Linked DNA regions of Callithrix jacchus. The protein of the gene in region 7 purifies or fractionates together with the protein of the main gene of each other region. This does not show direct contact. Links are inferred from orthologs where the notes say so. Each region holds a gene or a part of one and is shown on either strand. Other genes may lie near its edges.

Region 1 (3,500 bases), on a different chromosome or scaffold from region 7:
AAATGTTTTCCACGAAACTGGTGTCTGATGCCAAAAAGGTTAGGAACACTGCATGGAATGATATGACACTGTCAGTCCCTGATGCTCCATGAAAACCACATAAAGAACAATTCTCTTACCTTGCTTTCTTGGTTGCCATAAGCTAAAATTTGAAGGCAGTCTGTCGTAATAGCCAAGAATTTAACATTTGTTTTGTTGAGCAAGGCAACCATTTTCTGCAGCCCGCCAGCTAAACGCACTGCCATTTTGGCTCCTTCTTGGTGTAACAAAAGGTTGTGGAGAGTTGTAATGGCATAAAACAACACAGAATCCACTGGTGAACTGGGAAGAAGAAACAAGCCTCATGAGAAATACTATGACTATACTCTTCTACTTTTTAGCTTCAAGCATTCTGACAATGTTTTCTTACCCAAGCATTTTCACCAGGGCAGGAATGCCTCCAGATTTAAAGATGGCCAGCAAGCCCTCCCGATGATGGGAAAGGTTATGCAAGGTCCCAGCAGTACAACGAGCTGTTTCTACATCATTTGTATTCTGCATGGTACGTACAATAGCAGACACCATCTGAGGAGAACGCATGATAGCGTGTCTGGAAGCTTCCTTTTTAGAAAGCTGATGGACCATAACTGCAGCCTTATTCACCACCACCTATAATAAAGGAATTAAGAAACATCGTTAGTTTTCCAGTACTGGTATTGGGTGGACATTCTGAAACTACTCCTTTTGAGCATTTCCTTTGAAGCAGACTAAAAAGGTAGCCATGTCACTGCTCACCTGGTCCTCATCATTGAGCAGTTTTGTGAGTTCGGGGATTGCGCGTGTGGCAAGTTCTGCATCATCCTGATAGTTGATCAAGTTTACAACGGCATGTTTCAGCATCTGTGACGGTTCAGCCAAACGCTGGACATTGGTGGGGTGAGCAGCATCAAACTGTGTAGATGGGATCTGCATGCCCTCATCTAGTGTCTCCGGGAACATAGCGGCTCGTACCCTCTGAGCTCGAGTCATTGCATACTGTCCATCAATATCTGGAAAAGGTTAAATCAACACTCACTATCCATAGTTCAGCATTTATCTAAGTATCTGCTATCCTAAATGGTAAAAGCAACATTGCAAGTACTCCCTTTTCTTCACCACAACATTTTATTTAAACTATGATACACTAAATTCACTATTTAGTTCTCAAAACTGCATTCTGACTTTCAGTAAGGTAATGAAAAATAATACTGTACCAGCTACTTGTTCTTGAGTGAAGGACTGAGAAAACCCCTGTTCCCACTCATATAGGACTTGGGAGGTATCCACATCCTCTTCCTCAGGATTGCCTTTACCACTCAGAGAAGGAGCTGTGGTAGTGGCGCCAGAATGGATTCCAGAGTCCAGGTAGGACTGTTGCTGCCAGTGACTAACAGCTGCTTTTCTGTCTGGTTCCATGGCCATGTCCAACTCCATCAAATCAGCTATAAATATGAAACAGTATTGCCATTAGTACATTGGAACTGTTGCTTTAATTTTTAAAAAATGAATCTGTGATATGACCCATTGAAATATTTTTAGAAATAAAGTCAAATCTGAAAAACAGCCAAGAAAAGCAGAATGACAGCCAGGGTTAGCTCAGTGATGAAATACCTAAGCCCTTTGGGGACCACCTAACAGTTACTCACTGAATCAGTGGAAGAATGGTACTGTATCCAGGGTCCAGAAGCAGTCATCCAGACTAGATTCCTGCTGGTGGCTTGTTTGCTATTTCACCAAGCCATTAGGAGGAGTGAGCAGAAAATGGAGCAAAAGGTAGCCTGACAAGTAAGCAGGGAGAGAGGAAAGCAGGGGGATCTCAGCCAGACTGGCTTAATGGCAACGAAGCAGAGCCCCAATTCAGTAACGAAAGATTGACGACACAAACCTTGAGTGGCCATTGTCCACGCTGGATTTTCAAAACAGTTGTATGGTATACTTCAGATACCCTAAAAAAAGTTAATCAAAAGTCATTAGGATTTAAATCTAGTTTGATTGATACTCCTAATTCACTGGGATACCGGTTAAATGTCATTACTACGCCCATAAAAACACCCCATGTCCTCATTTACCAGGTTATTTAGTGAAATGCAGACCTCAAGGTCTCCTCCAGACACCTCAACCACTGCTCCATCACTGCTGAACTTCAGTGAAAACTCCTCCTTACCAAACATGTCTTTTTATTAACAGCAGAAATTTAAGTTACAGATATTCAGGATGGTGATGAGATAATAATAAAATCTAGGGAAGGGGAAAAAACTATTCAAAAATCAGCTGCTCTCTGAATTCCTAAAGGTCTCTCCTTTTGCAACCTTTCAGGGAAAAATTCACAGATCCCCCTTTGGATAACAGAGGTCCAAAGGGATTTTTAAAACACCACATTTTCATTAACAAGTTAGTTGTTTTCTTTGCTGATATAGTGCCATCAAAAATTATTTCTCGTAAAGCAAACTTTGATGACTGGTAAATTTTAAGATTTTTAGTACAAAGAAAAATTAATTTTCAAATGAAAGTTTGCAATACAAAAGCACCTTTATGAGTGAAATTTTTCTAAGTTCAAATTTACAGCAATGATTTATTATAAATACAGTTACCACCAACAGGGATAGGTATTATTTTGATTAATATCATATATATAAATCTTAACATCTAATGTATGTATTTTTACTTTATTATGCAACATTCAGAAAAAAACACTGCCTCACACAGGAAACTATTTGCAAATGAGAACAGTTTAAGGACTTACAGGCCTCTAGGTATTTCTAATAACAAAATTTCCTTTATTACAGAATCTGTCCCAAACAAATTCATCTTGAACTACAAACATACTGGGTATGTAAAGATATGGAATAAAATATGTAAGTGTGATCTGTGTTTTTCTTTTATTTTTTCCTGAAGACAGTTTTGGTATGTTCCCCAGGCTGGAGTACAGTGGTGTAACCTCGGCTCACTGCAACCTCTGCCTCCCAGCTTCAAGTGATTCTCCTGTTTCAGCCTCCCCAGTAGCTGGGACTGCAGGTACCCGCCACCACGTCCTGCTCATTTTTGTATTTTTAGTAGAGACGTGATTTCCCCACGTTGGTGAGGCTGGTCTCAAATGCCTAACCTCAGGTGATCCGCCCGCCTCAGCCTACCAAAGTGCTAGGATTATAGGCGTGAGCGACTACGTCCAGACTTTGTTTTCAATGAATGCGACGTGTCAATGTTTAATGAAGAAGGAAGCTCCTTACTGTGTCCTATTTTCTCTATGTAAAAGAGTATGTGTTTATTATTTCTAACACTGTGCTTCCATTACTCGATTTTTACAATCACCAGGATCATTTGACATCTACAGCTGACAAGAGTTGCAGACAGTTGTTCAGTGTCCATGGTGGAAACAACTGACAATTTACATACGATGCGAAATGAAGGACAGGAAATAGTAAAGGTGATTCGGTCCTTGAGAATCTTCTATTTTAGGATAATTTGCTAAGCAGGATTGTGTG
Region 2 (3,982 bases), on a different chromosome or scaffold from region 7:
ATATACTTTGGTCAGTCTTCACAGCCCTGTTCCCTCAAACTAATTTCTTTCCTGCTCTGAGCTCAGGACTTATGTTCAGATGTGTTCCATGACAACGTTCATTTTTAAAAGTATCAATGAAAAGCTAGTAAAAGACCAAGGCTGAGATTTCATCAGATCCCCCTTTTCCTTCCAGTTTAATATGATTCAACTGTTCGTAAGACTACATGAAATTAAGATGTGTGCCTTCACCCAGCAATGAAGTGGCAATACGTAAATGAGACTCCACATTGTATTTTTCCCCACAAAATTTTCATGTTTATAATTTTTCTCATTGCCTATGTTCAGCCTTCCGAGCAGCCTGAGAATCACATGTAATGACTGTCAAAACAGATGGTCTCACACACACTCCAAAAAAACCACTGGGAAGAGTCAGCATGTGTGTACAAACATGTAAGTGTGATGCTCTCCCAAGTCCATCTCTCAAAACTCACAAAATCAGACAGAGACTGATGGTGGAGGAGGGAGGCCTGGGAGTAGCTGGATATAAAGAAAAGATCAAGATCTGAGAAGCAAAATGAATAAGACCTGCAAGAGAGTATTAAGGAAGAAAGAGTGCACCGTGAGGGAGAAAAAGAGAAAATAGACTAGGTAGGAAGTGAAGAAATCTGTGGAGAAAAAAACGCAACAGTAAAGAGAAAACAAAAAGATCTCACCAAATTGGGAGGATAAAACAAGTCCTCCTGCTCCAATTTCGTGTTGTTTTTTCCAGGAAGCTACAAAACAGTTCTTTTTCAACAGAAGGATAACATTAACAAAGCAAATAAAGGAAACCAATGCTAAAAATGTAGCCTACCTACACAGAGAGATCCGAAAACGGAAATACTTCTTTTCCCTTTTTGTAATGGGTTTCAAAACAGTAGGAACAGGGAGAGGGTAGGAGCTATAAGAGGGGGAGGGGAGTAGCCACGCTCTTCCTGAATATGGAGAGTCTTTCGACTAAACGCTTAAATTTACCTTTTTGTGGTCAGCCGGCAAATTCTTAACTGAACACAGCGTTTGACTCTCAATCAAAATGTGACGAGTGATTCAGACAGCACAGGAAATTTAAGTGCTTATGCAAACACAAGACAGATGCAGCATCAGGACTTGCTTTGGGTGGTACTCTAACACCCCCTCACTGGGTGGCTAAAACGCCACTAAGGAATGAATTGTGACTAACAGTGGAATGGAAGAAAAGAAGAAAGTAGCAAAGTTAAAGCGCCTACGTTTAGCCAGAAAACTATGCAATTAGCCGGAGAAGTCTGTGGACTGGCAGTAAGTGGAAAACAGCGGACACAAAGCGGCTAACCAGATCAAACAGTTACCCCGAATTCTGTCCGTCTTCCTTACGGGGTGCTATACACAAAGTCCTTTCTATACAGAGGAAGGCTGCTCCTCAGCCTAGGCAGTTACCGTCACGAGAGGGGCTGCCCGCCGAGAAGGGCATGTCCAGCGCAAACCCGCAGCCCACACTTACTTTCGTCCGGCCATTGATTTTGTAGCTGCCCAGCTTCCCGTTACAGTGGCGGATCAGGTCGTCCATGCTGCTCATGAGCAGCCCAATGGTTTCGCAGCCGGGCTCCTTGCCCTCGATCCAGGTGATCTTATCGCCTCGGATGTCCTTGGACGAATCACTCTTCTGGCTGACTAGCTGCCCGTCCGTGAACTTCCCGGTGTCGTGCAGGGCGCGCACCTCGTCGCCGATCTGCTGTCCGGTCTCCTTGCCGAGGAAGTCGTCCACCACACAGATGCCGTGCTTGTTCATGCAGGGCACGATGTACTCGAGCGCCAGTTTCAGCGCCGGCAGGGGCTTCGTCTGCCCGTTGGGCCGCAGGCCGCCGCTGTGGCTCAGCGCATCCCCGGGCGTGTTGCTCGGGGGGTACAGGTTCGCCTTCTCCTGGAACAGCGACGAGCGGGCCGGCTGCTCCTCCTTCCCGGGCTCGGCCTCCGCTGCCACCGCCGAGGCCTGGCCGCCGGGGGCCGCGCGAGACGGGGACGCGGCCGCCGCGGGGTCGGCCGCGGGCTTGGCCTTTGCCTTTGCCTTGGCCGCGTCCCCGGAGGCGCTGTCCCGGCGCGCCGCTGCCTTCCTGGCCTCCCGGGCCCCGGACCTGGGCGGCGGCGCTGCAGCCGGCGGCGCGGGGCCGGAGTGCTGGTGCGGGCCCACTCCGTGGCCGAGGGCGCCCTCGCTGCCCTGGCACACGAGCTTGTGCTTCTTCCAGTCCTGACGCTGGTGCTCCTTGCAGCAGTAGAAGGAGCTGCGGCAGCGGCTGCAGCGCAGCAGGTTCTCCATCTTCCCGCATAGCTCGCAGTACTGCCGGTCTCGCTCGCTCGGGCTCGGCCCGCCGGGTCCGCCGCTGTCATTGGCCATGGCGGCGGCGGCGGCAACGGCGGCGGCTGCGCCCGAGCAGGAGGGGTGGCGGCCGGACGGCCTCGCCCGAGGCTGGGGAGCGGGGAGAGAAATCGGGGCCGTTACTGCGCCATGCACCCGCTACCCTCGCCTCAGGGAGGCCGGCACCCCGCGCCCTCGGCCCGGCCGCTTCCGAGTCCTAGGCTCCGGCGCAGAGCCGGTGGCCGCCTTAGCGCCTCATCGCCGCCGTGGGCTGAGAAAACGTGGCCTGTGCGGCGAACGGCAACCTGGGCTCGGGCGCGCGGGCCTGGGGAGCGTAAGACCGGCCCCCTCGGCCGCCGTCGCCGCCTCAGCGTCCCGGGCGGCCCGGCCCAGGCTGTGGAGGAGCGCAGGGCATGCGGGCGCCACTCGCTCTGCGCGCTCTGCACGTACACCACGGCCCCGCGGCGACCCGGGCGGGCGGCGCGCGAGGGCGGAGGGGGCGGAGGGAGGGCCGGGGGGAGGGCCGAGGGGCGGGGGCCGCGCTCACACTTGGGCGCTGGCGCGGCGCCTGGGCCGCCTGCGCTCCTCCGCACTTGGCGGGGCCGGACCTCGGCCTCAGAGCCGGGTCGCCCGCCCTCCGTCCACCCGGGGCGGGGCCGGGACGCAGAGGCCGGTGAGCTGCCTCAGCCCGCAGCGGCCTGCGCGGGGACGCAGAGGGGCCGGCCCGCGAGCGGCGGAAAGGCGTGGGGCCGCGCGGGCAGCGCCTACACCTGCTAGGGGAGGGCGCCGGCCGCGAGCGGGTGGCGGAGCGGCGGCGGCGGCGGCGTAATCATGGCTGCTCTTCCTGCAGGCGGGCGCGAGTTGTGCGAGGCGCGCTCGGGTTAGGGTTACAAGGTGGCTACTGTGATCCTCATTTTGTAGAGGAGGAAACGGAAATTCAGAGAAGTAAAGTAACTTGCCCAAGGTCACGCAGAACTGACTGGGACTGAATCCAGCAATCAGGCGCTCAGATTCCAAGGCTGTTTTTTCCATTGCTCCATCCAGCCTCTATTTCAAGAAGCCGTGAAATGGTTAAGAACAAAAATAAGTATTACTGTGATGTTAATCCAATCTCTTGTGCCCCGTTTCAACCTAATTTAAAGGTTATGAAATTTGAGGGTTAAAATCAAAAACATTTTTAAAACCTTTGAAATCCCGCCGAGTTCGAACCCCCATGATTGGGCTACCAAGTCAAATGAGTGCTTATTCCAATATCCAATTTAAACTGATGGAATTATCCCTGAAAAGTTAATTTTGGTAGTAAGTGAGCAGTACTACTACATTAACGACTCTCACATTTATTTTTAATAGAATCTGTGCTACGCTGATGGATACAATTCTTTGTTTTATAGAGCATAAAAACCTTTCCATAAATAAGCCAAGGATGTTTCTGCTGTTATTTGTCTTAAGAATAAAAAGGCCTGTGACTTAGAGTTTAACAGTCTTTATCGAACACTTACTGTGGAAAATTCGGTGCTAGGCTTGTGTATCACTTGAATATACTGTAACTTCAGTCCTTGAGATATAGCCTTCCAAGCTTAAAGAAGCTGCAATATGTATTTCAAAAGCAGGATGTATGGAATTACTATAAAC
Region 3 (4,068 bases), on a different chromosome or scaffold from region 7:
CCCTGAGGAAAGGGCCCAAAGGCCATGCATGGAAAGGAAATGGGGAACGAGTGGGAGCTCTGCTGTGGGGGCTGAGGGAAGCAGAGATGAGGGACATCTGTGAAGTAGAATGGAATGCCATGGAGTTCTTTGGGATTCCATAAAGGTTTGCCTGCTTTCCAAAGTGCAAACCACAAATCTAGAGTTCTACGCATGTGGCTTGTTGGAGCTTCCCTGTGAGACTGTAACCATGGTTTCAGGCAGACTACATCACAGCCATGAGCATAAAAACAAAAGGCTCTCTCCTATTTCTCCCTAAAACTCTGTGTCCTTGAAAAAAATATGTAAGGTGATATGCCAAAGTGATTCACGTGCAACTTCTGACCTCTAGGAGATCCATGAAGTTATCTGGTTTTCAATAAAAAGCAATTGCTCTATGCCACTTTTGAGGCTTAGAGAAATGTCTCACTTTTTGTGTAAACCAAAGAACCCTGAAAACATATATATCCAGAGGAACACTTGCACTTGCTCTTGGTGGGAACATGTCACAAACCTGAAAACACAGAAATCCATGTCCTAAATTAACACCATTCTTCCAAGAAGAGAAAAAAAAAACTAAGATCTGCTTGTCCAAGTTCCAAGATCGGATGCATTTGGTTTATAGTACATTGAGACAAGGCCTATTTCCAAATCCTTAATAGTTTAACAATGAAATTAATTAACAATTTACTCAATCTCAGACTCAGAAATCGTCTTTTATTGCACAGTAGCTTGACAATCAAAACAGAGAAATAATATAACTTTAAATAAAATTCAAAGCACTGTCTTGCAATTACCCACAAGCAGAACCTTTCTTCAAATGCAACATTCATTCTGCATGGATGGGGCAATGAATTGGACAAAACAAGCTCGGCTTATGTTTCTGGAACCATAGAGGGGACATCCTGGAGGAGGACACTTTTTTTCTACTTGTATGTCAGAAGATGAGCTAACCGCCATGCAGAAGAATACAAACACACCGGCTTCCTCCGGGAGGAAAAAATAAAGCAACTCCTCACTCGGCTAAGCAGGACAAAGCCAGGACGTGCAACAAGCCTTCAGTCAAAGGCTCCACGTGCCTTTCCAAGGACGGAGGGACCCACCCACACACAATCACACACAGCCAGCCCACCACGCGCCTGCGGAAGAAAGCCGGGTCCTCGGCCAACCTTCAGCACCAGCAGCCCAGGCTCTCCCAGTTTGGAAACCTCCCGCAGCACCACCATCTGGAGGGCACAGAGGGGGCAGAGGGCCACATCCTCTTTCCAAGTCTCATCTTCCTCGTCAATGCCTGTTTCTCCCCAACTACGAAGTGAAGTGTACCTCCCCAAGGAAACTGAGACCTGCAGGCATACACACCCCCCAGTCGTCACTGAGTCCCGGAGCCCTACGATCAAGGCCAGTGAATCTTTCCCCGGGACCCCACAACCGGGTTCCCGGACCGACGGGGAGGCCCCAGACTCACCCAGTCCTCGAAGTGGCGGCTCCCGTTCTGCAGCAGCTCCTCAAACTGGATGGTGCAGTTGGCCACGAAGTCGTCGTAGCCGATGGGGGCATCGTGAAAGACAGCCAGCTCGATCTTGCGCCCGTTGCACACATCAGTGACGAACTCGTCGTGCCAGGCCGGGCTGTTGGTCTTCTGCTTGGTGGCCGTTTGGCCGATGCGCGAGTCGTCCACATTGAGGGCAATGTAGGGGTCGAGAAGAAAAGTCTGTGGCCGGGGTCCCACCGCATGGCGCAGCGACCAGGCTGTGGGCTTCAAGCTCACGGCCTCGCAGATTTTGATCTTAAGAAGGCCATTGAACACTACCATGGTCGGGGCGGGGAGTGGGGGCCGGGGTCACTCCGTCTGCCCTGAGGGCAGGAATGAAGAACCGACGGCCCGGCGCTCCAAGCTACGGGGACTCTTGGGTCCCCTTTCGCCCCACCCCACACACTCCCTACACCTTGTGGCGTTGCGCCCTGGCGCGGGCGATTCTCAGCCAGTGCATGTATTTCCTCGCCGGATTCCTAACGGAAAACAGGGAGGGGGGAGAGCTGGGGGACGTCCGTGCTTGGAGCAAGTCTCTCCCCCCGACCACCAGCTGCACCTCCAGAAGAGAAGACGAGCTGTCGGCTCCGCTGCAAGCCGCGGGGGCTGCCTCGCCGCCTCGCTGGCTCTCCGGCTCCGGGCTGCGGGAAAGCGGGCGCCGCGCCCGGCGCTCACCTACCTTTCCGAAACATAATCCCGGGAAATTTCGACTCCGGGAGGGGGATGGGGCGGTGGGACGGGGCGGGGACGAGAACCGGGGGCGCAGATTTCAACCCGGATCCTCTTCGCACACCCAGCGCCTGCCTCTGACCGCACGGGGCGGGGGGTGGACCGAGGGATGTTCAGTCTATCCGGAGGGATGCATGTCGAGAGGAAATGGTCCTCCTCGGAGCCAAATTTTTAAAAATCCACAAGCCCTACGGCCAGCCGGGGCCGCCTCCTCCTGGGCGAAGCAGCGCCGCGCCGAAGCCGGCGATCGGGAGGCGCCAGGAGCCCAGAATCTCACATCCGCGCGGGCTCGGGAGTCCGGGCGGCCGCCGATCCGGCTCGGGGCGCAGGCCGGCACCGGGCGGTGCGCAGCGCGGCGGCGGGGCCGGGACTGCGACTCGGCTCGGCCCCACCTCCTGGGCGCCGGCGCCCGCCCGCCGCGCTCCCCGCGTCCCCGCTCTCGGCTGCCGCTCGCTCGCCGCCCGCCAGCCCGCGCTCCCCCGCGGTCTCCTCTCCCTCCGTCGGTGTGCGAGCGAGTCTCCCTCCCTCTAATGCAGGAAATGCGCAAAAGACGTCAGTGTGTGTGAGTGTGTGTGTGAGTGTGTATGTGTGCACGCGCGCGCGCGCACGGCAGTGTTTGGGGAAATAGAAAGTTTTGCCGGTTGGGGGAGCAATACGGAAAAAGTGAGCCAAGGAGAGAACGGCGGAGAGCGGGCGAGGCTGCCCGGGTCGCGGCGGCGGGCGGGGTAGCCGGGCGGGGATCCCGCGCGGGACCCAGGGGAGCGGCGGCGCTGGGCTGGGTGCCCGTGGCGCGGGCCGTGGATGGGACTCCTTTGGTCCCGACCGGGAGGCCCCGGGCTGCGCATCTATCGGGAACCCTGCGGCCAACTCAGTCTTTTAGAGCTTGGGATGGGGGAGTGGAAGGGGCCGAGTTGCCCCAAAGGCCCCGGGACCCTCCCCCTGCCCACCCCAACTCGGGTGGCTGCGGGCAGAAGCTGCCTGCGGAGTTCTGGCCGGTCTGTCACTCAGTCCCGGGACGCTGTGATACGCGGCGGTGGGGGAAGGGGGGAGGGAGGGACGAGCCTGGCTCGGGTGAGGTTTTAAACTCGATTCTTTTCTCTTGCCTTTCTTTGGCGGGGCATTCTCCCCTTTGGGATCTGTCCTGGACTTCGGAGGCTGTGAGAACTTGTTGACAAGTGAAAGCTCGGTAGAGCCCCGGCTTGGTTTGTGGTCTGTTTATTTTTTGCAAAGTGACTGTTCCTATTTACGTTGGACCTTATCGGTGCCCCTTTGTGGGACTTCGGCTCCGATCAGCGTGCTGCCAGCTGCCGTCCGGACTGCGGGGAAATGGGGCGCGCCCTCCGGGGGGCCAGCGGCTGCGTCCATGCTAATTTCCTCCGTAACCTTTAAACTCTCGCTGGAAGCCGCCGCCGCGGCTGGTCACGTGAGGCGAGCCCTGGGCTGCTGGGGAAGAATTTCCTCGGCGGGGAGCCGGGACGGGGCCGGCGGTCGGCGAGGGACTGCCCCGCGCCGGGGACTGGGAACCAGGGAGGGCAGGGCCGGGAGCGCGGGGCCCCGGGGCGTGGCCCAGCTGCGGTCCCCGCGAAGACGGCGCGGGGAAGAGGTCGGTTCTGCAGCCGGGAGCTGGGACTTATGCAAGTGGGGAAAGAAAACCTCCGCCCTCGCCCGTCTGCCAAGTCAAGTCTGGGAATTTGTAGGTATTGTGGTAAGCTGAGTGTTCATCTGGCGGGTCTGGTTTGTGTAAACCAAAATTTAAAACCCGCCTCCCAATCACTTTTTCCTCAGTGGAT
Region 4 (4,293 bases), on a different chromosome or scaffold from region 7:
AAAGACAAGGCCTTGCTGTGTTGCTCAGGATGATCTTGAACTTCTGGGTTCCAGTGATCCTTCTGCCTCAGCGTCCTGAGTAGCTGGGACTATAGGCATGCAACACCACATTGGACTACAGAATTTTTTTTTAATGATAAGCAATAATTATTGAAACTACTGCTGCAAAAGTATTACAGATATTAAATGAATAAGGGAACCCTTACAACAACCCTGTGAGGAGGTGGACATCATTCAGATTCTCAGGTGGGGAAACTGAGGCACAGTGATCAAACAATTCCCTGGCAGTCATCAGCACGTGAGTGATACAGACAGAGCCAAAATTTGAACCTAGTCAGGCCTGTGCTCAGAACCACAACAATCTCTCCTTCCCCTCCACAATGCTTCCTTCCAGACTTGCCCCAGGTTTTCCTGACCCAGTCTTAATTCATTCTTAAGAAAGATCTCACAAGAGGTGGGGCCATATTATCCCAGGTTTCACACGGCCTCAAAGGGGTTTCTTTTGAGTCTTGCCGCATCAAAGAAATAAGCAGCAAGGGGCAGGGCTGGGATTGGAACCCAAGCTTGCCTGCCCTTGAACCTATGCTGGAGACACTGAAGCCCCCTGCCTCCCTTAAGCACCACTACGGCCACTGGGTTCTCAGTGGCAGGACAGGGAAAGCTCCGTGCCAGACGGAGGAGGGTGTGGCAGGTATACTACGCTGCAGGAGGGGGCCCTCCCACCCGGCAGGACCAAACCATTCTCCACAGTAGTAAAGATTAACCTCTTTATGTGACAGAAATAGGTCTTCCCAAGAATAGTCTTTGGAGCTTTGCAGAAGTTTTAAATATTTCATAATAAAATGTTACACACAGCAAGAAATAGAAGCGCTAGAACTTTCTTCCCACACTCCAGTGGCTTGCTTGGCAGGTACACTACCCAGGAGACTCAGGATTTAAGGAATAGGTCTGGAGGTGGGACTGGGAGCCAGATGAAGAAACTAATGTCATATTCTGGTGTATTCTGGAAGGATGGAGAAGGGACCTTCTGGTTGTTTCTGGATAAATGATGGGGAGTTGGCCTATGGGAGGACGGGGTAAGAGAGCCTCACTAGAAGGTTCTGAGAGGTATATGCCTCTAGTTTAAGAGTACAACATGGCTGGGCACAGTGGCTTATGCCTGTAATCCCAGTACTTTGGGAGGGTGGATCACCTAAGGTAGGGAGTTCAAGATCCGCCTGATCAACATAGAGAAACCCCGTCTCTACTAAAAATACAAAATAAGCCTCTCATGGTGGCGCGTGCCTGTAATCCCAGCTACTCAAGAGACTCGAGGCAGGAGAATCACTTGAACCTGGGAGGCAGAGGATGCAGTGAGCCAAGACAGCGCCATTGCACTCCGGCCTGGGTGACAAGAAACACCATCTCAAAAAAAAAAAAAAAAGAGTACAACAGACACTGGTAAGTGGATGCAGGCGCTCTGATTTGGAGGAGCAAGAGGTTAAACCTTTAAGTCTTAGTCACCTCATTGGCTTGTGAGCACTGAGGGGGTGGTAGAATATGGATCACCCAGGTATTCTGGAGTCTGGATTTGGGGGTTCTGTTGTGGGCAGACAGACAGAAGAAGGGTTAGTGAATTTAGAATCAGACCAGGAGACTCCCTGGATAAGAGCAGGGACAATTTAGATATCAGAGAGTAGCTCATCAGGCTGGGGACATAAGGTGGGGTGGGTTTGGGATCCTGGGCTTGAGTTAGGGGAAAGTTTCCAATACTGGCTGAAGCTCATGCAGGAAGCCAGTCTGGGAGGTGGGTGGTGACAGAGTCGGCAATACCAAGTAGGGGCAGGGGCTCTGGCTGGACCGGAAGCCACGAGGGCAGGATTTCCTGGTATAATGGGAAATGCCTCTACCAGAGGCCAAAGGAGAGGCTGGAATGTGAGGCTCCATCGGGGTGGAGCTGGTAGTTAGATCCAGACGGGAACCAGGTTCCAAAACCCAAGTCCTTGGTGAGACTAAAGACCCTAAGGGGGCAAGGGTCTACACTCTAGGAAGGGGGTTCTGAGTGTGGGCAGGAGTCCCAGGCCAGAAACAAGAATATCAGGGTAGCACAGAGTTCCTTGTTCTGTTTAGAAAAGGAGCGATGACTCCGGATCTGAATGGGAACCTGGGATCAAGATCCCAGAAAGTAGATTCCAGGACAGACCAAAGTACTGGGGTTCCAAACTATAGAGGTGGGGGAGGGGGCGATCGGAGATTCCAGATAGTAAGTGGATACCCGAATAGGATCAGGATCATCCAGAAGAATTTGGGGTCCAAACCTCGAGGCAGAGTTCTCGGTGTAAACGTTAGGTCCCAGACAGAATTAGGGAGATTCCCCCCAAGACTGCTCTAGGGGAGTCTAAACTATGAAGAACTTCTACGGGGTGAATAGGGAATCCCACGAAAAAATTGGAGCGTGGGGGTGAGGGGTGGTGGAGATCCCGGGCAGGGACTCAGAGTCCCCGCGGTACTGGGGTCCCGGAGTTTAATCGTGGCTTCTGAAAGTCCAGACTATGGGAGTGAGAATCCTAGGTGTGAACAGCGGGGTCCCTGGGCAGTATCGGGGATCACAACTTCCCCCGGAGTGGGGAAAAGGATGGGCGAGCGCGCCTTACCTGGTGCCGCCAACGGAAGAGGCTGGCCGTGTCGATGTTGGGGTGCGTCTCGTCTTCATCATCAGACACCTCAATGTGGTCCCACACGCTGTAGTCCACCATCTTGCCTCGGCAGCCCAGCCCCGCTCCGGCTCGGGTGGTGGCGGTGGCGGCAGAGCTGGAGACTCGGCGAGCGAGCCCCGCCCCTTCCGCTTCCGCCCGACTGCGGGCAACCCCGCCCTCCCGTGACGTCACATCCTTAGTAACCGCGGCAGCGGCACTGGCTACCGAGCCTGCCTTAAAGGGCCCTGCGCAAGTGTTCCGGACCCCAGGAGTTCTCGCAGAGACTACCTCTTTGGGCGCTGGGTCTCAGCTAGGCCTCCTCGGGGCGGGGGCATACGTGTGGGCGCTACAACTCCAAGCCCTCCTCATCTCCCAACGCCCCGCGGTGGGCGTTTGGGGCGGCAGCGAGAGGACGGTTGATGAGGCAGAGAGGACTGTCCCCTCAGCCACGCCGCAGTGACGTCTGCAAGGGGTAGGGACAAGGGGGAAGGCTCTCCCCCGCCCCTCGTAAACGGGGACCTAAGCCTGCGCTTGAGAGGGGCGCTTGATGACTCTGACTGTCTCAGTTCGAGGAGGACTGACCTGCCCTGGGGGTGTCTAAATCGAGGGCAGTATGGCCCTCCCCTTGCGGGGTTAAACCTGGAGTGGAGATTGTGGCCCCGCCTGGGAAGCTGGGGTTTCCCCCCCTCGGACAACAGCCTTCTCCTCGTCCTCCAGCTCCTGCCATTCGCAGCGAGGACTCGCGCGCGCGCGCGCGCGCACGCACACACACACACACACACACACAAAATCTCCGGGAGACCCCCCCCAGCGGATCTCGGCGCCCCTCCCCTCGTGGCCGCTGGGTGTCGCTAGAGTCTAGGCCGCAGCGCGTACTCCTGGCCCCGCGCTCGGTGGTGGGGGATCGTGGAGGGGTGGAAGGGGGCTTTCCTTGTCGTCACAGTCTAGGGCCACGCGTAGCCCCTCCCCGTTCGTCTGGGGGTCCCCTTCCTCCGCCAGAGCTCTAAGGACTCCATTACTTTAAGCATGCCGGGCCCCAGCCTCACACTTTCATGCAACCCAATCCACGCTTTGATACCGGGATAACAGGCCGTGTTGCAGCCTCGGGCTAGGATTATCTCAGATTAACGGGTGCTCCGTCGTGGGGCAGGCTGGATAGGAGGAGCTCCAGCCACCCGGGTGAGGGGCGCCTCTTCCTAGTCTCCCCTGGAGCAGACGTTGGAGGCGCGGCCTGGAGAGAGCGAGCGAAGGTCTCCAGTTGTGGGGGGATTTCCCGGTGCATTGAGTGGGAGGGGCCATCGGACAAAAACGCCCTCCCGCCGCAGCCCCTCCTCCTCGCGCTTCATTCAAACCCGCGAGTGGGCGGGCAGCGGCGGGGGAGTCCCCCCTCCTCCCCCTCCCTCTTACTCTCCACCCTGGCAGTCCAGCACATCAGAGGCCGTCACAGCCCGAGCACGCGCGCGCACGGACCCACACCCCGGCGGCTCTCACAATCGCACACACACATACACACTCACACCAGCAAACAAAGGGTCTGGACACCCCCGTCCCCTCCCGCCCCCCAGGCCGGAGAGGGCAGGGCATCCCCTCCCCAGCCCCCCCCCGCAAGGTAAGCTTG
Region 5 (2,490 bases), on a different chromosome or scaffold from region 7:
CCAGTTAATTTTTTTGTATTTTTAGTAGAGACCGGGTTTCACTGTGTTGACCAGGATGGTCTCGATCTCTTGACCTTGTGATCCACCCTCCTCGGCCTCCCAAAGTGCTGGGATTACAGGCTTGAGCCACTGTGCCCAGCTTGATCACAGAGGTTTTGCATTAGGTTCCTAGCTTGAGTTTATAATTAACTACCTAGCCCTAAGGGTGGATAGTTTAGTCAGAAGTAAGCTTGTCACGTTGCCCTCCAGCCTAAAACATAGCACTTTCTGCTCTTGGTAGTTTTCCAGAAGCTAGTCTTGGAGGGTGTTTCATTGTTTTAATGTTTCATTTTTGCTTTGTCAGACACCATCCCTGACACAGTGTGTCTGTAACATAGTCATTTTGCCTTAACCATGAAGTGTTTTTTTTTTTTTTTTTTTTTTTGAGGGAGGGTCTCATCCTGTTGCCCAGGCTGGGGTGCAGTGGCATGATCACAGCTCACCACAGCCTTGACCTCCTGGGCTCAGGTGATCTACCTCAGGCTCTGGAGTAGCTGGTACTGCAGGCATCTGCCACCACACCCAGCTAATTTTTGTATTTTTTGTAGAGCTAGGATTTGCCACATTGCCCAGGCTGTTTGCTAACTCCTGGGCTCAAACCATCTGCCTGCCTTGGCCTCCCAGAGTGCTAGGATTATAGGCGTGAGCCACCATGACCAGCCCATGAAGCATTATACTTTGTACCTGAACTAAGCAAAAAGCATCTGAAATACTTTTAAGTATGTTTGTCCAGTGTTTCCTTTCATGTATAATGATTTAGTGTAAGCTAGCTGCCTATATCAAATATTAACCACAATTTAAAAAAATTTCTAACAATCAAGGGCTCTATGTTGTCACATTGGATGTTTAAATACTTATAATCACAGCATCATTACAACCACACGATTTGGTTAAACATGCATGTTGAAATGTGCAATTTTATGTATTTGAGGGGCCTTCTAAAGGTCAATTGGAGCCAGGCAAGGTGGTGTTGTGCCTGTAGTCCTAATTACTGGGAAGGCTGAAGTGGGTAGATTGCTTGAGCCCAGGAGTTAAAGGCTGCAGTGAGCTATGATTGTGTCACTGTACCCCACCCTGGACAACACAGCAAGACCTCATCTCTTAAAAAAAAAAAAAAAAAGGAAAGAAAGTAAAGATCAGTTTGTATGTTCTGAATCTCCTGTTTTGATACAATCAGTCCCTAAGGTATTAGGTAATGTTTGCTTTTCAACATACAGTTTTCATGTCCTAAAATTTTTTGATAAAAATCTGTATTTTATGTCTTAGGAGCCGTCCTTCCATGGAGCTTGTTCTCTGGAAACCCCTCCCTGAACTCCTTTCTGATAAGCCAAAGCCATCCTCTAATGCTAAAAACTATACAGGAGAGAGCCAAGATAAACATGCAGCTGCTGGCACTGCCTTCCCTCAGAGAACTGAACTGTTTTTGGAACCTCGGCAAACAGGAATGTCTCTTTATGATAGTTTGGAGACAGCTACTAGCACAGAAGAAGAGATGGAACTCTAGAAGCCAATTTCTACACTAAAGTCAAATGTTAGAAGAATCCTGTGTTCAGTTATGAGCCTCTTTGCATAGTATAGGGACTTGAAAGTTTTATGAAACGGGTGTAATAATATCTCCACCTGTGATTTGGGGGTGGGATTATCATTTTGGGTAGCCATTTATTGAATTCAACTTCTTGCCAAGAAAGTTTGTCTCAAGGGAAAAGCAGTTTTCTGTGGGGCTCATTAGAGGAATGCTTGTTTACAGTCTCTTCAAAGGCAAGTATAGAAGCTGTATGTATAAGAGTCACTTAAATCATATGTCACATTGTCTAGACTATTCAGACACTTGGAGAATATTCTCCTTGAATTAAAAAAGATGATAAAGAAGGATGCTCCTACTACAACTGTATCCACTCACAGCCTAGTTTGTAGATACAAGCTATTTACAGTGGTGACTATATATAATTGGGGAGAAGGAGGGAAGAGAGCAGTAGCTTAAATCTGTTGCTCAGAAATTTAATTTCTTAGCAAATTGTAATTTAGTTATCAATTCAATATAGCTCTGTTGATTAAATAGCAATAGTATTGTGGCTCTCCTCTTTGACTCTGAAAATGCAATGAAAATACACAAAAGTTTTTCCTTCAAGGCTTTTTTGCCTTGTGGCACTGTTGCTCCTTGGTTTCCCTTGCATAATAGATAAGCCCAGTTATTCAGTAACGTTTACAAATTAATTGACTTTGAATGATAGTTAAAAAGATTAAGAGGTAACCCAACTGCAAATTGCCTGTGGGGGAAGCATCCTTTGGTTCATCCTAAGAAAGTGCTTTGTCAGCTAAACCCAGCATTGATGACTTTAATAATTAAAAAAAAACATCCTTGTATTAGCAAGTTTGTTTTTTTTTTCCACCACAGCCTCCACCTCCCAGGTTCAAGCGATTCTCCTGCCTCAGCCTCCCAAGTAGCTGGGA
Region 6 (3,500 bases), on a different chromosome or scaffold from region 7:
AAAAAAAAAAAAGAGGCAGAAGATACATGCCTTTCAGTGGGACCCAGGGACAAATGCCAGCTGAAGGGTGCATGCCTTAACTCTTTCCCTCTATTCTGTTTTTCTACCAATCAGGACTTGACTTCAGGAATTCTTTCTGATTCAATGATGCCATTACTTTGTACCCATTTACTTTTCTTTCTTTTTTTTTGAGACAAAGTCTCACACTATTGCCTGGGCTGCAGTGCAATGGCATGATCTCAGCTCACTGCAACCTCCACCTCCTGGGTTCAAGCAATTCTGCTGCCTCAGCCTCCTAAGTAGCTGGAATTACAGGCACCCACCACCACGCCCGGCTAATTTTTTGTATTTTTAGTAGAGACGGGGTTTCACCATGTTGACCAGGCTGGTCTCAAACTCCTGACCTCATGATCCCCCGCCTTGGCCTCCCAGAATGCTGGGATTACAGGTGTGAGCCACTGTGCCCGGCCTACTTTACTTTTATTTATTTGAAATAGTAGATATGAGAATGAGTTTATGAAAGAAAATTCTCAAATAAATGTTCGAGACTTCAATTACCATTTCTGAGAACATGTCCCAAAGTAAAACTATTCCATATATCTTTATTTTTTTTTTTGAGATGGGTCTTGCTCTGTTGCCCAGACTGAAGTGCAGTGGCATGACCATGGCTCACTGTAGCCCCAACCACTTGGCTTCGGCGATTCTCCCACCTCAGGCTCCCGAGGAGCTGGGACTACAGGTGTATACCAGCACAGCCAGTTAATTTTTGTATTTTTTTGTAGAGACATGGCTTCACTATGTTGGCCAGGCTGGTCACAAACTCCTGGGCCCAAGTAATTCAACTGCCTCAGCCTCCCAAAGTTCTGGGATTAGAGGTGGGAGCCACTGTGCCTGGCCTACTCCATATATATTGAATCAGTATCATTTTGCTATGTTAGATTACCCAGTAGTGCCACTTTTACCTTTAAAAAATCTATTTTTTTAAAGTAGGTAATACAAATACACGGTACAAAAGAATACATGGTTAAACATGTCAGTAATCCTCCCATACAAAAGTATTGTAAAACTGAAAACTTTAGCTAGGTTGGAAGCAGAGATTCAACTGCAGTCTATGTTAGCTAAATTCAATTCAAATGAAGACTACAGTTGTGCTCCTAAGTCCTTCAAGGCAGCAGGCACACAGAGGAACAGAACCAAGTGAGCCATCAGAGGCAATCGTCAGCACAGCCAGGTCATAACACATCTCTGGAGTCAACGAAGGTAACTTTCTAAAGTACAGTATAATATTGTTTATATACATCTTTTCAAATTTCTAGAAAACCCAGTCCATTTCATTGCTTCTCCAGTTCTTGCTTTTCTAAGGGGGACAGAATTATCACGAGAGTATTTTGGGTGCAGGCACACAGACATATTAACACCAATATACTACATGGTACCTCTTAATTTATGACTGTATTTACGTTTTTATTTAAAAAACAAGATCTTGAAATTTTGTCCCAGAGTATGTGGGAAATTCCACATATCCCACCCGCTTTTGCTATCAGATAATAAAGCTGAATACAGTCATGTTTCTCAACTCCACACTGTAGCAACAGAATGGCACAAGTCAGCTGTGCAACAGAAAGAAGCCAGGAATTCTGTGCTACAGCATAACCAGGAATGGGCATTCGCTTTCCTAGTAAGATTCACTCAGTCTCCCGACTTATATGACTCAGAACTAGAACAGGCATGGTAGTGTGCACCTGTAGTCCCAGCTATTCAGGAGGCTGAGGAAGGAGGATCACCTAAGCCCAAGAGTTCAAGGCTAGCCTGGGCAACATAGCAAGACCAGGTCTTTTGTTTTTAAAATAAATAAATATGGCTGGGTACAGTGGCTCGTACCTATAATCACAGCACTTTGGGAGGCTGAGGCGGGCAGATTACTTGAGGTCAGAAGTTTGAGACCAGCCTGGCCAACATGGTGAAACCCCATCTGTACTAAAAAATAAAAAAATTAGCTGGACGTGGTGGCAGGTGCCTATAGTATCAGCTATTCAGGAGGCCGAGGCAGGAGAATCACTTGAACCCAGGAAGCAGAGGATGCAGTGAGCCAAGATCATGCCACTGCACTCCAGCCTAGGCAGGTGACGGAGCGAGACTCCATCTCAAAAAAAAAAAAAAAAAATTAGAGAGGGAAGGAAAATCCACTTTGATGAAGGCCTCATGGCTCCAGTTGTGAGTACCTCTTCTGCACACTGCTGAGGGGATAGGCCCCTACCTCAAGTCACCTAGAAGGGCAGATGGCATGAGGCATGAAGCATAAGACTTACTTACCTCTTGGGTGGTAAACACTCTATAGAGCTCCTCTGGTGACGTCAGGAAGGTTTCCCTAAGAGTGATCTTACAAGTGGGGATTTTGACTCCAACAGGTCTGGCCTGGGTTTTTGAAGGAGCAGGCTTAGCCTGTGAAAGTCATAGTGAAAATGATCAGTACAGACTAATGATACAACCTCAATCAACGTGGCTTCAGAGACAGTCATATCATTCATTCTCACAAAATTTTTCCCTTCCAAGGCTAATTATTCCAAGGGGTTAAAGGGAATTTGAGTGTGTGTTTCAGTCATGAGGGTCATGTTTCTGGAAACATCCTCAATTCCCAGTAAAAATAACCACTCTACAAGGAAGACCCTGACAGCCAAAGAACAAATCAAATCATTGAGATATTTTTGAAGAGATCAGTGTAATTCTCAGTTTCAATGCTTAAATAGCTGGAAGCAGTTTTCTCCCCACTTCCAGGATATCTACTTCACTATGCTGGCAAAAGAGCAAGAGGGCTCTAAACCAAGTGCTGAGCCTGAACCATAAAGTTCCATCTCTAGATAAAGTACTTCCTCATCCTGCAAATGGGGGAGATGGGGTGAAGACAGGATGTAACTTCATTTCTTGATGGGACCTCTAATATCAAAGTATAAAATATCAACACTCCAATTAGAAATAATACTGAAGACCTATATAGGTGAAGACCATCCTTTGTTCATAACCTCCTAATTTGGTGCTAAATGTAATCAAGAGTCTGACTTTTAATTGTCTGAGAGCTTCTACTTGCTCTAGGGGTCTGCAATAAATGAATTAAAACCAGGTTAAAGATGGGTAAACGAATACATATTACAGGCACTCTAAAAAAGCACCATGAGCAGATCATAGGCTGCTCTGGCTTCGAGGTTAGGGACACAGAGCTGGTATGTGGAATGAAGGAGGAGGCAATCTCTCAAGTTCCTTTGCAGACAGTCTCCCATCCCAGGGAAAACCATTTACCTTGCGCTCCTCAGTTTTCAGTGCTGGCTGCCCCAGTGGGTCTACTGACTCTCCATTCATTGTAGGTAAGATCATGCCCTGGGTAAACTCTGAAAAGATAAAATCCCAGCTCATGGAAGTTATTTCTTAGTAGCTGAGATTTCATTACAGCTTGACAAACACAGCCATCCTATCACAGATTGAGGTTATGACCAGAAAAGGAAAAG
Region 7 (4,264 bases):
AGAAAGTGGAATTTATATGCTGGTGTAAGATTTGAGATTTTCCAATTTAGAAAGTCTTCAGGAAGCTGCTGAGTCTTGACACTGAAAGGATCCAGCTCGGGAAGCCCATCCCACAGGAGTGATTCCTGCTTTGGATTTAGGTCCTAGGAGTGAGATCACATCCCTGCTCCATTTGTAGAGCAGGAAGGGAGCTAGTGCAGCAAGGGCTCTGAGAAGAGGGACCCTGGGAGTCACTGAAGCCATTTTCCTGTTGATAGAAAGTGCACACTGACTTTCATCTGCTCACAGGACAGTGAGATTTTGTGAATGCTCTGTAAACTGGGGAGCAGATTTTTAATGAGCTAGGCCCCACTGCTTAGAAGGAGAGGGCATGTTAAAGGATCACACTCCCTCGGGTTTGCGGTTTTGGTCAGGAACAGAGCCTCCAACGCTCCTTCCTATAGACTTCTCCCAGCCATTGGCTTTTTGCAGACCATAAAGGAAGGGAGAAAGGACATAAAATCGGGGTAGTGATGGCGGGCACGTTGAGGTGGACAGTGGACGGGGACAATGAAGAGGAAAGCATGGGACTGCCTTTGTTTTTTGGTATTCAAAGCTTGTTAAGGAATGTAGATGGGTAACAGGGCTGGTGAGGGAGGACGATGTGGGTGGTCGTGGGGAAAACCCTTCCCAGGCATCCCAGGGGTGGGCCAGGAAGGGGAGTAGAAGGACGTCTACAAGGCACGGGAGTGGTTATTCTCTCCTGGAGGGGCTGTGGGTCCAGCAGGATTTCGGATGAGACCTTGGAAAGGCAAGGCAGCTTGCCAACTGGAAGGCAGGCAAAAGGGCTGAACCAGGCCAGACATGGCGGTCTGCAGCTCACTGGCCAGGGGCATGGCCTACCCGCTCTGACGCCAAGGCTAAAGGGGAACAACTTGTCCAGCCGCTCTCTGGCCGGCGTCGTCACGAGGCCTCCATGAGCTCTGACTGCCCTGCAGTGGTTCCTGGAGACTCCTCACCTTCCCATGTCCAAATAGCTGCAAGAGGGAAGTGGGCGGAAAAAAAGCAAAACAGCTTGGGAAAAGGCTTGACGTGCCTGCGTAGGGAGGGTGCATGTTCCTGTGCTCCGTGTACGTGGCGGCCGCAGGGAATGGAGGGGGTCCCTCCAGTAGCGACTCTGTTTCCAGTCTCAGTCTGCATAAGTGGACGCCCGCAGAGGCGCCCCAGGTGCCCGGGTGTTGTGTGATTGACTGGGGGAAGGAGGGGTAGGTCGATCCCTTCCTAACGCTCCATCCCATCCCCGAGGATTGGGCTAGTAGGTCGGACGGTCAGAGCCGGAGGCCGGGCAGAGTCGCCGTAAAGACTCTGCTCCCGCCGGGCAGCAGCCGGAGAGGCGGAGCCTCGCGGGGAGGGGGCGGGCGGGGGCCGGACCGCCGAGACAGACCTGGAAACTGCTGGAAAGGCCGCAGTGCCGCCACCGCCGCCGCGTCTTCCGCCGCGTGCCGGCAAAAAGTCCCCACCAGCCCCGGCCGGCGCCCTCTCTCAACGCTGATCTACCCACCGTAGCTAAGCCTCCGCCCTTCCTGTGCGCCTGGGAGAGTCGGATCTGTGGCTGCCCAAGGTTGGGTCCCGAATTCCAATTCTTTCTACCGGGATGCGAAATGTGTGGGGCAGATTCTAGGAAGAAGATTGCGTCTGGGAGCGGCGGTCGGTGTGGTTAGCCACCTCCGCTTTTTTTAGGTGTCCCCCTCCCCCAGCCCCGCCCTTGGGTGTGGGGACGCCTGCCCCACAGGTTTTTAGGGAGGATAGTGGGTCCTCGTTCGTAGAGACACTGCTTTGTCAAATGAGCACTCCTCATCCCCGCTCTTGAGCGGGTCATGTCCTAGACGTGCAGACATGGGGGCTGTGGTCACAAGCAAACGTGTGAGTGGACCCGCTGCTTGGGTTCTTCTCTGCCCCCTCCCTTATTTCGGACCATGACGTCAAGGTGGGCTGGTGGTGGCAGGTGCGGAGTTGACAAGGGTACTCCTTTAAGGCGGAGGGATCCGGGGGAGGGGGGCTGTGCTGTGCTTCGCCTTATATAGGGCGACCTGGGGCGTGAAATAGCTCTCTTGAGTCGCTCCGGCGCTGCTCTTGTCTGTGTGTGTGTGTGTGTGTGTTGGACAGCCAGCCCACCTTGCTTTCTAATACCTGTGAGCCTTTTCTTTTGAAGGTAAGGCCGAAGTCTCTGCCAGGTTTCTTTTCCTTCACTGCTCTTTCGTTTTGCTGTTTTCTTTTTCTGTTTTTAGGAAGCCCAGATGTCGGGGTGGGCTGTGGATAACGCCCTGGATTTTTACAGGGTGAGGGTGGTAGTAGGTGAGGGCTCTTGAGTTTTGCTCCGTTTTCTCTTGTGTGCTTGGGCGGTGGGCTTTTTTCTCGGCGGCTGCTAGCCGTGGCGAGGTGGGCTGAGGGGTTGGGGGAGTGGGCGGAGGGCAGCTGCACGTGGTGGCCGCGCGGCCCAGGACGCTGCCATTCTTGCTTCTCCACTTCCGGAGGCGGCTACAGGGCGCCGGAGGGGGACCGCAGGGTGGCGGGGGTGCTCGCATGGGGTGACTCAGCACGGCCCTGCGGGACTGGCCTCACCATCTCTCTTTACGGCCGCGTCGAAAGCCTTGGGTGCTTTGTTTCTGTGAGGGCTCACGGTGAGGGAGAAGCGTTTTCGGCCTCCAGCTCCCATATTTCCTCCTTCCAGATCTTTCTTGCAGTCCCCGTGGAGGAGGGGTGGGGAGAGGGCAGGGTCTGGAAGATTCTTGGGCTCCCTCCTCCGCCCCTCCTCGAGAGCTGAGATTGTTCTGGAAGCTTCTGGATTCTGGCGCCCCGCCCCGGTGCCCGGATGCTGGGGAGAAGGGAGGGTACATGGTGGCGTCCCCTCCTCGCGTGGCCCCTGCCGATGCATGTTCAACAGTGACGAGAGTCGGCCCGGTGGCTACGGCCACCATCTTTCCTGTGTTGGGTTTGGTCCTGTACTGTAATTCTGTGCTGTAAAGGGGTCGTGGTTGAGCTTTTGGTTTTTCGATTTTTTTGTCTGGATTTAATTGCTCCTCGGGCTGGTGGCCTACGGATCTGATTATTCCTCTTTGCCGTGTGGGGCAGAAGTCCTGCACCTTAGGCTGATTTTAGGAAGACACCTCAGGGGGACCGGTTTAACGTTAGTGCCATTTTAATCTTAAACTACTGGTTACTTTGACCTCCCCCAAATATAAAGAACCGTAGCTAGTGATTTTCACATTTAAATTTGCGCAAGGATTACCAGGGATCCCTAGATACCTGGGTTGGACCAGGATTATGAGTTTCTGCCATACTACCAGGTGACGCTGAGCCTGTTGGCCACCATTCTTTAAGTAACTGGGTTCTGTGACATTTGGTTGAAGAACATTGTAGCTTATTTTCTTTTTCCTTTTGATTTGGCTTCCCACTTAGTGTGTAGCCTGAGAGCTTTAAAGAGAATGCTTTTTTCGTCTCTTGGGAAGGGATAATAGTACTCAGCTTAAACCACCACTCAACTCACGTTTTAAGGTTCCAATGACAGGCAACCATTAGGATTTCTAAATATGGGGCCTTCATATTCTTTTGTAATTAATTACTATTTTTATTTTAGATGCCTGAGGAAGTGCACCATGGAGAGGAGGAGGTGGAGACTTTTGCCTTTCAGGCAGAAATTGCCCAACTCATGTCTCTCATCATCAATACCTTCTATTCCAACAAGGAGATTTTCCTTCGGGAGTTGATTTCTAATGCTTCTGATGTAAGTGCTCTGGTTTTCACATTTCATATATTTTAACATTCTGGAAGAAGGAGAGGGGTAGTTTGGCCTTTGTTGGGGACTACTGTTGAAGAGGTAAACCTGCAACTATTCCAAAAAGATTTGTCTTACTTTGTGGCCATTTTGAAGTTGGAAGGGACTATGTCCAGGATAAGTGGGTTGGTGTAACTATGGTTCTAATGCCTCAACATAAGGGGCAATCAGATTGAGGCTGACAGAAATACACCAAGATTTTCTTTGAAGATAAGGGCTTTAACAAAACAAAAGTGGGCGCAGTGGTTCATGCCTGTAATCCCACTACTTTGGGAGGTGGATCATGACTAGCCTGGAGTTCAAGACCAGCTTGGCCAACATGGTGAAACCCTGTCTTTACTAAAAATAGAACAACAACAAATTAGCTGGGCATGGTGACGAGTACCTGTAATCCCAGCTACTTGGGAGGCTGAGGCAGGAGATTCACTTGAACCCAAACCCAGGAGGCAG

Evidence for each region.
Region 1: the proteins of HSP90AB1 (region 7) and CTNNB1 purify together in Homo sapiens (affinity purification with mass spectrometry; 3 studies listed by BioGRID, with this or other methods). This does not show direct contact. The link is inferred for Callithrix jacchus from reciprocal best matches to the Homo sapiens genes HSP90AB1 and CTNNB1.
Region 2: the proteins of HSP90AB1 (region 7) and EGLN1 purify together in Homo sapiens (affinity purification with western blotting; 4 studies listed by BioGRID, with this or other methods). This does not show direct contact. The link is inferred for Callithrix jacchus from reciprocal best matches to the Homo sapiens genes HSP90AB1 and EGLN1.
Region 3: the proteins of HSP90AB1 (region 7) and PRKCE purify together in Homo sapiens (co-immunoprecipitation; 3 studies listed by BioGRID and IntAct, with this or other methods). This does not show direct contact. The link is inferred for Callithrix jacchus from reciprocal best matches to the Homo sapiens genes HSP90AB1 and PRKCE.
Region 4: the proteins of HSP90AB1 (region 7) and CDC37 purify together in Homo sapiens (co-immunoprecipitation; 12 studies listed by BioGRID and IntAct, with this or other methods). This does not show direct contact. The link is inferred for Callithrix jacchus from reciprocal best matches to the Homo sapiens genes HSP90AB1 and CDC37.
Region 5: the proteins of HSP90AB1 (region 7) and CCDC117 purify together in Homo sapiens (affinity purification with mass spectrometry; 3 studies listed by BioGRID and IntAct, counting the BioPlex papers as one, with this or other methods). This does not show direct contact. The link is inferred for Callithrix jacchus from reciprocal best matches to the Homo sapiens genes HSP90AB1 and CCDC117.
Region 6: the proteins of HSP90AB1 (region 7) and AHSA1 purify together in Homo sapiens (affinity purification with mass spectrometry; 6 studies listed by BioGRID and IntAct, with this or other methods). This does not show direct contact. The link is inferred for Callithrix jacchus from reciprocal best matches to the Homo sapiens genes HSP90AB1 and AHSA1.

What each region holds. Positions count from the first base shown.
Region 1 is NC_133518.1:79,019,669-79,023,168, reverse strand, and holds part of CTNNB1 (catenin beta-1), read right to left. Parts: intron 1,965-3,500; 5' UTR 1,917-1,964; coding exon 1,904-1,916; intron 1,797-1,903; exon of another isoform or gene 1,665-1,796; intron 1,461-1,664; coding exon 1,233-1,460; intron 1,029-1,232; coding exon 775-1,028; intron 649-774; coding exon 410-648; intron 322-409; coding exon 120-321; intron 1-119. UniProt on the Homo sapiens protein: Key downstream component of the canonical Wnt signaling pathway.
Region 2 is NC_133520.1:53,463,416-53,467,397, reverse strand, and holds the start of EGLN1 (egl nine homolog 1), read right to left. Parts: upstream 2,801-3,982; 5' UTR 2,390-2,800; coding exon 1,499-2,389; intron 1-1,498. UniProt on the Homo sapiens protein: Cellular oxygen sensor that catalyzes, under normoxic conditions, the post-translational formation of 4-hydroxyproline in hypoxia-inducible factor (HIF) alpha proteins.
Region 3 is NC_133515.1:69,123,868-69,127,935, forward strand, and holds the start of PRKCE (protein kinase C epsilon type), read right to left. Parts: upstream 2,801-4,068; 5' UTR 1,832-2,800; coding exon 1,484-1,831; intron 1-1,483.
Region 4 is NC_133523.1:9,592,556-9,596,848, forward strand, and holds the start of CDC37 (hsp90 co-chaperone Cdc37), read right to left. Parts: upstream 2,801-4,293; 5' UTR 2,736-2,800; coding exon 2,634-2,735; intron 1-2,633. UniProt on the Homo sapiens protein: Co-chaperone that binds to numerous kinases and promotes their interaction with the Hsp90 complex, resulting in stabilization and promotion of their activity. Inhibits HSP90AA1 ATPase activity.
Region 5 is NC_133502.1:199,472,479-199,474,968, forward strand, and holds part of CCDC117 (coiled-coil domain-containing protein 117), read left to right. Parts: intron 1-1,305; coding exon 1,306-1,543; 3' UTR 1,544-2,490. UniProt on the Homo sapiens protein: Facilitates DNA repair, cell cycle progression, and cell proliferation through its interaction with CIAO2B.
Region 6 is NC_133509.1:112,425,565-112,429,064, reverse strand, and holds part of AHSA1 (activator of 90 kDa heat shock protein ATPase homolog 1), read right to left. Parts: intron 3,384-3,500; coding exon 3,295-3,383; intron 2,443-3,294; coding exon 2,314-2,442; intron 1-2,313. UniProt on the Homo sapiens protein: Acts as a co-chaperone of HSP90AA1. Activates the ATPase activity of HSP90AA1 leading to increase in its chaperone activity.
Region 7 is NC_133505.1:52,710,455-52,714,718, forward strand, and holds the start of HSP90AB1 (heat shock protein HSP 90-beta), read left to right. Parts: upstream 1-1,464; 5' UTR 1,465-1,600; intron 1,601-2,084; exon of another isoform or gene 2,085-2,191; intron 2,192-2,486; exon of another isoform or gene 2,487-2,660; intron 2,661-3,616; coding exon 3,617-3,763; intron 3,764-4,264. UniProt on the Homo sapiens protein: Molecular chaperone that promotes the maturation, structural maintenance and proper regulation of specific target proteins involved for instance in cell cycle control and signal transduction. Undergoes a functional cycle linked to its ATPase activity.